Linked DNA regions of Oryzias latipes. The protein of the gene in region 1 interacts with the protein of each later gene in a pairwise test. Links are inferred from orthologs where the notes say so. Each region holds a gene or a part of one and is shown on either strand. Other genes may lie near its edges.

The links.
Region 2: the proteins of cep63 (region 1) and sptan1 interact in a two-hybrid assay, tested with the Homo sapiens proteins (2 studies listed by BioGRID and IntAct). The link is inferred for Oryzias latipes from reciprocal best matches to the Homo sapiens genes CEP63 and SPTAN1.

The regions. Positions count from the first base shown.
Region 1 is NC_019862.2:2,682,854-2,686,672, forward strand, and holds part of cep63 (centrosomal protein of 63 kDa), read right to left. Parts: intron 3,599-3,819; exon of another isoform or gene 3,527-3,598; intron 3,282-3,526; exon of another isoform or gene 3,138-3,281; 5' UTR 3,032-3,137; coding exon 2,991-3,031; intron 2,909-2,990; coding exon 2,731-2,908; intron 2,641-2,730; coding exon 2,545-2,640; intron 2,465-2,544; coding exon 2,378-2,464; intron 2,313-2,377; coding exon 2,199-2,312; intron 2,125-2,198; coding exon 1,972-2,124; intron 536-1,971; coding exon 411-535; intron 1-410. UniProt on the Homo sapiens protein: Required for normal spindle assembly.
Region 2 is NC_019870.2:24,685,446-24,689,264, forward strand, and holds part of sptan1 (spectrin alpha chain, non-erythrocytic 1), read right to left. Parts: intron 3,654-3,819; coding exon 3,373-3,653; intron 3,266-3,372; coding exon 3,121-3,265; intron 3,023-3,120; coding exon 2,868-3,022; intron 2,591-2,867; coding exon 2,455-2,590; intron 2,348-2,454; coding exon 2,246-2,347; intron 1,714-2,245; coding exon 1,576-1,713; intron 1,445-1,575; coding exon 1,334-1,444; intron 1,253-1,333; coding exon 1,175-1,252; intron 1,057-1,174; coding exon 901-1,056; intron 782-900; coding exon 577-781; intron 1-576. UniProt on the Homo sapiens protein: Fodrin, which seems to be involved in secretion, interacts with calmodulin in a calcium-dependent manner and is thus candidate for the calcium-dependent movement of the cytoskeleton at the membrane.

The DNA.
Region 1 (3,819 bases):
TGTCTGGAGATCCCCGTTATTATGATCTGCTTTTTCTCTACAGAGCTATGGTTACAAGAGAATTTCCCCGTTCTGGGATCAGGAACATTCTAAAAAGTTCTTTTCCATTTTAGTCTCATAACTGAGTTTCAGAACACTTATCGATGTATCGATGTTTCGTGACTTCATGTTTACGCCTGTGACCCCGTGACCTACTTTTGACAGAAAAGTCGTATTCAAGCCAGACGTGTTAAACGTAAAACTAAATGTAATACGATTTTTTTGCAAAGTTGGGCACAACTTTGTCTTCATGCTTACGTTTCTTTTCTACAGTTATCTCATCCCATACAGTACACTTCCTAATGCTGGTGGAGAACGCCCCCTTGTGGTTGCCACTGGAAGTTACAGGCTGCAGACGGCAGTCAACTCACCGAATGACCTGATCTTTAGCTCGAAGCATTTGGTTGAGTTTAGCAGCTTCATTTTGAAGCCTCTGGTTCTCTCTTTGCACAAATGACTCCTGGATGTGGAGATCTTCCTGTTCCTCTGAGAGCTGCTTAAAAACAAAAAGAGCATTTGAACTTTCAGGAGCTGAAGTGCTCTGTTCTGAATCCAGACCAAACACAAAAGCAGAAAACGTGAGGAGTCCAGACTGCTTCTCCACTCCTCTGAGGGCAAACCGGACCACGTCTGCTGCCCCAGTATCAGCCCCTCATGACCTCAGCAACACTGCTGGATTGTATTGACTTGTTAGAGGTGATCAGCTGAGAACACACACTTTACCTCAAACCTTACTAACAGTGTAGGTGATGTGTAGTTTGGTCATCTGATTGATTTTCAGCAACAATGTATAACGGAGCTGCTTAAAATAAATGAAATGAAACTATTGGCCTGTAGAGCCAGAAATAAATATAGTCCAGACAGAGAAAAAACAGGTTCCTAATAACCCGTAGAGATGAAAAGGCCCCTCATTTGATGATCTGATGATTCATAAATGTGTAATTCATCAATATCAAGCCTGCTGGGGTTTTGTTTTCCGCATAAATAATCTCCCTGGTTCTCTTGACAGCATTTTCTTTAAAGTTAGAGCAGGTGTCTCAAGCCTGAGGCCCCGGAGCCACATGCTGCCCCATTGTCCCCCCATTATGGCTCTTAGAAGAAAAATGCTAATGATGTGAACAAAGAATGGATTTGTGGTTTTGGTTCATTTGTTTTGCTTTATTCCGTTGTTTTTCGTTTTTTTTTTACATTTTAAGATAACTGAGCAAAAAGATGAAAAGGGTTTAATTTACTGTCACTAGTTTATCGATTGAATAAACGTAAAGTTCATTTTCTAAACCTCTGCTGATCAACAGTTACTGTTTGCAGGCAAAGGGTTTAAGGTACATAAATGCATTTTCCTGTGTAGATTTTAAAGGAAAAAGTGGATTTTTCACCAATGTTGTCATGTTTATATGGATTTTAAAAGATTAAAAAAAAGACGACGGTGGACGGAATGATAGAAAATGACGTGTTTGATGTGGTTTTCTTGCATTTTATCTCCAGTTAATATGTTGCAGCAGAAGGATGTCATTAGACACAGGGTGCATTTTATTTTGAAAGGAACGTGTAATGTAAAGTAACTAAAAATGGTTGTATGTAGAAAAATTTAGGAGCGTTATTATTAAACTAAAGTTAATATTAATGACTCAAAAATATAAACAAAGTGCATTTTTCTGCACATTAAAGTGGGACTTTGTGGCTCTGTCTGTAAGAAACTGAACCAAAAGGCTCTTTCTGTGTTAAAGGCTGCAGACCAAACATTAAACATAGTTATGTTCTTATAGAACTGAAGAATAAAGAAACATTTTAGAATTTGACTATTGGATTACTAAACTGCCTGACATTGACCAGAGATTTTGATATTCTTCTGTTTGGTTCCACATTTAGCGTCTAGACACTTTCCATTGATGGACCTGAGGGACGTTTAGCTGGATGTGAGGAACCTCTGACCTGCTGCTCTCTCAGGGTCCACCCCGACGACTCAGGCTGTCCGACGGCGTCCGGAGTGCATGGGAGGGGGCCGGGCGGCGGTCTCCGCAGCTCAGCTTGCAGACGCTGCAGCTCCACACAGCACTGCCAGTGCTGCCGTGATGCCGGCTGGGCCTGCAGAGGAACAGATAGTTTGAACCGTGGCCCCGCCTCCCCCTTTAAAATCCACACGTCCATCCAGGTATTACCTTCATCTGAAGCAGCTCTTGGGCCAGGCTCCGGTTCAGGGCCTCCATCTCTGTCAGCTGGCTTTGATGCTGGTCCCGCTGCTGCTCCCGGTCCAGGGGGTGTTGAGGATTCTCCTGCAAGAACGGGAAGACTTCAGAGTCAGGACAAACCTACGCAGGGTTTTCCTGGAAGTGGTTACCTGTGAAAGATCTCTGGAAGCTCCGCCGCTCGTCTGCCTGAGCTGTTTACGCTGAAGTTTGTGGTAACTTCTCTTTAGTTTATCCAACTGGAAATGCAGGTGTCTCAAAATGTTATGTGGAAAACAATTGTAACGTCAGGAGAAGTTTAGACTGTGAGGGGCCTCACCTCCTCACTGACTTTCTGCAGCTGCTGCTCATATTTAGAGACTACATCTTGGGGGCAAACCTGAACGTCTTCCAGCTGTTTGTGGAGTAATCCGATCTGAAAGGATCAGAAACATCTTCCAGGCTCATCCGTCCAGTTGCTGTGTCAAATGTGCTAACATGTCGTGTCAACATCAGTCTGCTTCACCTCCAGTTCTCTGCGTTCAATGGTGGCCCTGGAGGCGAGGAGCTCCTCCTCTGTGCTCTTCAGCCGCATGTCCAAAGCCCGGACCTCCGCCTCCCACTCCCTCTTCTGATGGCTGATCATGAGGTCGATCTGCCTCATCAACTCCTGCAGCTCTGGCTCACATGCAGACAGCACGGAGCTGGGAGGCAGGAGCAGAAAACACCGTAAAGATAAAAACTTTTAGCTCGGATCGTCACGTGGTGTCGCGATATCCCTCTTACTTTAGATCGCGATTGTTCGTGGATTCCAGCGGAGCCTCCATGAGTTGGTTTTACGGTTTTTTCAGTCTTGAACTTCACTTTGGCAGTGTAAAACGGCTAAATGGTTGGAAAAAAGTCCTAACAGCTCAGCCTGCTTCAGTTCATGTCCTTGAAAAAAAAGAAGAAAAAACGTCAGTGTTTTTAAATGTTTTTAACAAGAGTTTATAGCTTAAAAAAAGACTAAGTCGTAGCGGCTCTCGGACAATGATAACATTAACCGCTACTATGACTACAAAACACTTCCTGAAATAAGGCGGTAACCCCGCCCATCCTCCACGACATCATTACGTTGGACGTTATTTATGGGCTTGTTTTTTTTAAAGGCCAAAAGCGCAGTGTAATGTAGGCCCACCGATTAGAGTTGTAATAAGTAAAACAGATAGGTGCACATCATGATAGAGGCAGCAATTATACAAACCTATTAAAGAACAAGGCCCGTATACCCAGTACACAACTATACTAGATAAGTACATTTGTGGAGGGGAACGTAGGCACGTGGCTCGTTGGTCTAGGGGTATGATTCTCGCTTCGGGTGCGAGAGGTCCCGGGTTCAAATCCCGGACGAGCCCTTATTTTGGTTTCGAATTACTTTTGGTTTACAGGCTCAAAGCACACAAAGTGGGTGCCTCGTCGAATGCCATATGCTTAGAAAAGGTTATTTAAATCACAATCGTCTTGGTGATGTAAATGCCTGAAGTTACGGCATATTTTCTTAGCGATGTCATTGAGAGTAATAATAGTACAATTCAATTTCACAAAGTAGAATACATAGCCTGCAGGTGATAGTTTA
Region 2 (3,819 bases), on another chromosome or scaffold:
TTTCTTTTGGCTTGATCAATTTTTAACTGCAAGAACCGGGTCATGAAGAGTTCAAAGATCAAACATCTCCATCAGATATAAACTTGGAGGAGAAACGGAACTTTGAACAATTTCAGGATGGAGCTTTCAGTGCTCATTAAAAGCGATCAAAACCTTTATTCTGCATGTCAATTACAATTTGCCTCCAGTCCAAAACAAACACAGATAAACAAATCACCATTACTCCAGTCTAAAGGACTGTGTGCCTTCACATAGGCAAATATAGATTGTAAATTGTTCATTTATGAGGACTTTGATTAATAGAAAATGAATACGAGCAACTACTAAACAAACCTGCTAAAAAAAAACTTTTGTAAGACTAGACTAGACTACACCTTTTTTTTTGTTTCTGAAAAAAAAAAATGAGCGGTCAGTTTTTAATTGCAAAGCATCCATTCTAGCACCATCATGTGTTTTAATGCAAAAGTATTTGACTTTCAGCTCCTAAACCTTAACTATATAGCAGAAAGTGACTGAGGGAAAGAGTTGTTTGAATGTTTTAAATTGCACTAAATCGTGTTAAGACTTGAACACTACCTTTAAACTCAGTGGCTTCCAGAAGCTTCTTCCACTGGGAGCTGACCTCCTCCATGCGGGCAGCCACCTCAGCTGCAGCGTAGTGCTTCCTGTCCAGCAGCTCTTGGCCAGACTTCTGCAGGGCATCAATGCGGCTCTGGTTGGCAGAGAGCTCGGCTTCAAAGGCCTGGTGTTTCTGCACTTTGCCTTGCAGATTGGAGGGATCCTGATGTTTAGAGCAGAAAAACCAAAGTAAACCAATGCAAGGAGCTAAATCTTTTAAACCATTGCTGTTTAAAGAAACATTGGATTTAGTAAAACAAAAAAAATGAAAAGAAAGCCTACTTTATAAGATTCATCAGTGGCCGTCTTCATCTTCTCGTTGATCCAGCTCTTTAGCTCGTCAGAGTCCCTGCAGAACTGCTGCAGGTGGAAAGAGTCCTCCAATGCGGCACGGCGTGACTGAGCGCGTTCATGAAGGGCGTTACGGCGACTCAGCAGCTATGTAACAAACAAAAAGCATGAGAAAAAACAACTCAAAAATGTCTAAAAACAATTTTTTTTAGAAGAGTCCACAGTTGCTGCTTCAACATTGACAGGCTACATCTGTGGGGCTTACAGCATCACGGCGCGTAGCCACGTCCTCTTTGGCGTAGTGGTTATTCTGAATTAGCTTGGTGGCAAATTCATCCAGAGCCTGAAGGAGAACACATCAATAAATTACCAAATTACACAATTAAGCAATATTTGGTCAAATTGTTCAAATGATGCAACTTACAGTGATCTTCTCTTCCTGAGCACTGAGGGATTTCTCAAAGTCTTCATGCTTTTTCAGCAACGCTTCAACACTATCCAGAGAGTCTCCAAGGTCTTCATTCAGGAGGAAAGCCTAAACAATCAAGTGACATTAGAGAAGTCATTTTTGTCTGGTAATATAACCAACATACATGATTTGCTGCTTTGTATGCTTCCGTCACATTTCTCTGTACAAGCTGAGGCTTAATAAGTGCCAACTTTCACCTCTTGCTTGCTCATCCAGTTGTCGACTTGCTCAGTATCCCTGTAGAAGAGCTGCAAGTCCATGCACTGCTCATACTGCTGCCTGCGAACCTCCCACAGCTCCAGCAAAGACTCTTTCTCTCCTGTAAGAACGCCGAGCTAAACACAAATACGACCGATTAAACGTAAAAAAATTAGCTTCACTCTTATTACCATGAAAGAGATGAACTTCCAAAAATGATCAAAGGAGATCTGATGAAAGCACAAATATATTGTAGTTAGTGTATCCCATTAGTTTTCCATTCCATAATGTAAAGAAAATAATGGTTCTTCTATTAATGCAGATAAAGTGTATGTTGATTAGATTATTCAAAGGCATTAAAAAGAATCTAAGGAGCAGTTTTGCTCCATCTTTATGTTGCACTGGGTGTTTAACCAAAGTGCAGAGGAAGGGAGGGCTCTTCATTCACTGGGACTGAGAATGACTTTACCCAAAAATAATGTGAAGACTTTGCATTGATATATTTTTCTTAACGCCCGTTTTCTCTGTTTTTGTCTGATTTATCCTATTCATCAAAATCGGCTTGACTGGAAAAAAAAAGGAAGAGTCTGTGTCCATCTCACAGCAATTTGCATCAGAAATCAATCTAAGAGTGAAGCAAATTAAGCACTGATTTTATGACAGCCGTACCTTTTCCTTGACCTCCTCTGAGGCGTAGTGTCCAGCACTGAGCAAAGCCTTTCCAGACTCATCAGTGCCTCTGAAACTGTCCTCGTGGGCATCAATTTCTCCCTGAAAGACGTTAAAATATTCAGAATGGTACAAGGTCTTGCATGGGTTGCATTAATGCCATTTGCATTAACATAGAATGCTTGTTTTTGTAAAGAACAATGATTTACCTTGTGCTCCTGGTGGCGGTCTAACAGAGCCTCTGCCCCAGCCACATCATTAGCCAGTTCATCAGCATTGATCAGAGCCTTCATCTCCGTTACCCAGCTGATCAGATCCCTGAAGTCTGCAAGGAAGCGCTGGAGCCTGAAAAATTCAGACAGCATGGCAGAAGACTAAGGGACAGAGAAGCTATGAAGAGTGCATGTTATTTAAACAAGACAGTTTTTTTTATAGGATCTATTTCAAATAGTTTGTCTTTAAACACCTTCAACTTCTAAAGATCAGCTTTCACATTTGATGTGCAGCTTCATTGTCATTTTCTTTATTCATTTCCACTTTTTTATTAAAACCATGAAACTGAAAACATTTTGGTTTTTAAAAACAAAGCCCTAAACTAGAGGTTAGATATAGAAACATTTACTGGTAGGAGTCGTTGAGGCGGGTGCGGCGCTCAGCAGCCAGAGTGCGGATCTGCTCCCAGTTGGTGATGAGCTCATCCTTCTTCAGGTGGATCTGAGAAGCATTTTGGGGATGCGTCTGCTGCAAACGTTCCACTTCAACACCCAGTGTATCGACCTGGATCACATGAAAAATGTAGGGGACCAGATTAGAGATGTCCCTAGTTCAGATGATGTCATTTCCGGACATGTTTATCCATACAGCATGTGCCCTGCCTTTTGATTCAGAGCGGCGAGGTCTCTCTCCAAACCCTCGTGTTTGCGCAGAAGAGCCTGAACGCTGGCCAGGTCACGTCCAAAGTCATCAGATGCCATCAGTTGTTCCTTCTCCCTGATCCAGCTGATTGTCTCATCAACATCTCTGTTATGAATTAAATAGTTAAAGTCAATACCATCCTAGAAATGGCTTTTTATCAGACTTACAGCTATGACCAGCGGTCTACAGAGGGCCTTTTGGACCATGTTCACCTGTTGAAGCGCTGTACTTCTGCAGACCCAAACAGCTTGGCCTGTCTCTGCTGCGCCAGGCCCTTCAGCCGCTGCCAGGCCGAATTGACCTCTTCCTGTTTGCGGACTATGAGCTCAGCCTCTGGATGTTCTTCCTGAATCAGCTTGGCCGCCAGCTGGTTGACCTCGTTCACACGCTCTTCGTGGGCTGCCAGATCTGTTTGGAACTCCTCAAACTTCTTCTGCAGGAGCTCCACATGCTCCAGGTCCTGGCCTAGCTCTTCAGATGTGGTGATGGCCTCCTGTACAAGAAATAAAATAAATCGTTTTCAGATTTTTTTCTTTACGATAAAGTTGAGAGGACATGAAGATGTAAACGAAAACATACTGGGCTTGTAACAAAGTAAACCATAAATGTTCTGATAATGTCGTGTTTCTACCAACTCTTACGTTGGGGGCATTTTTTTC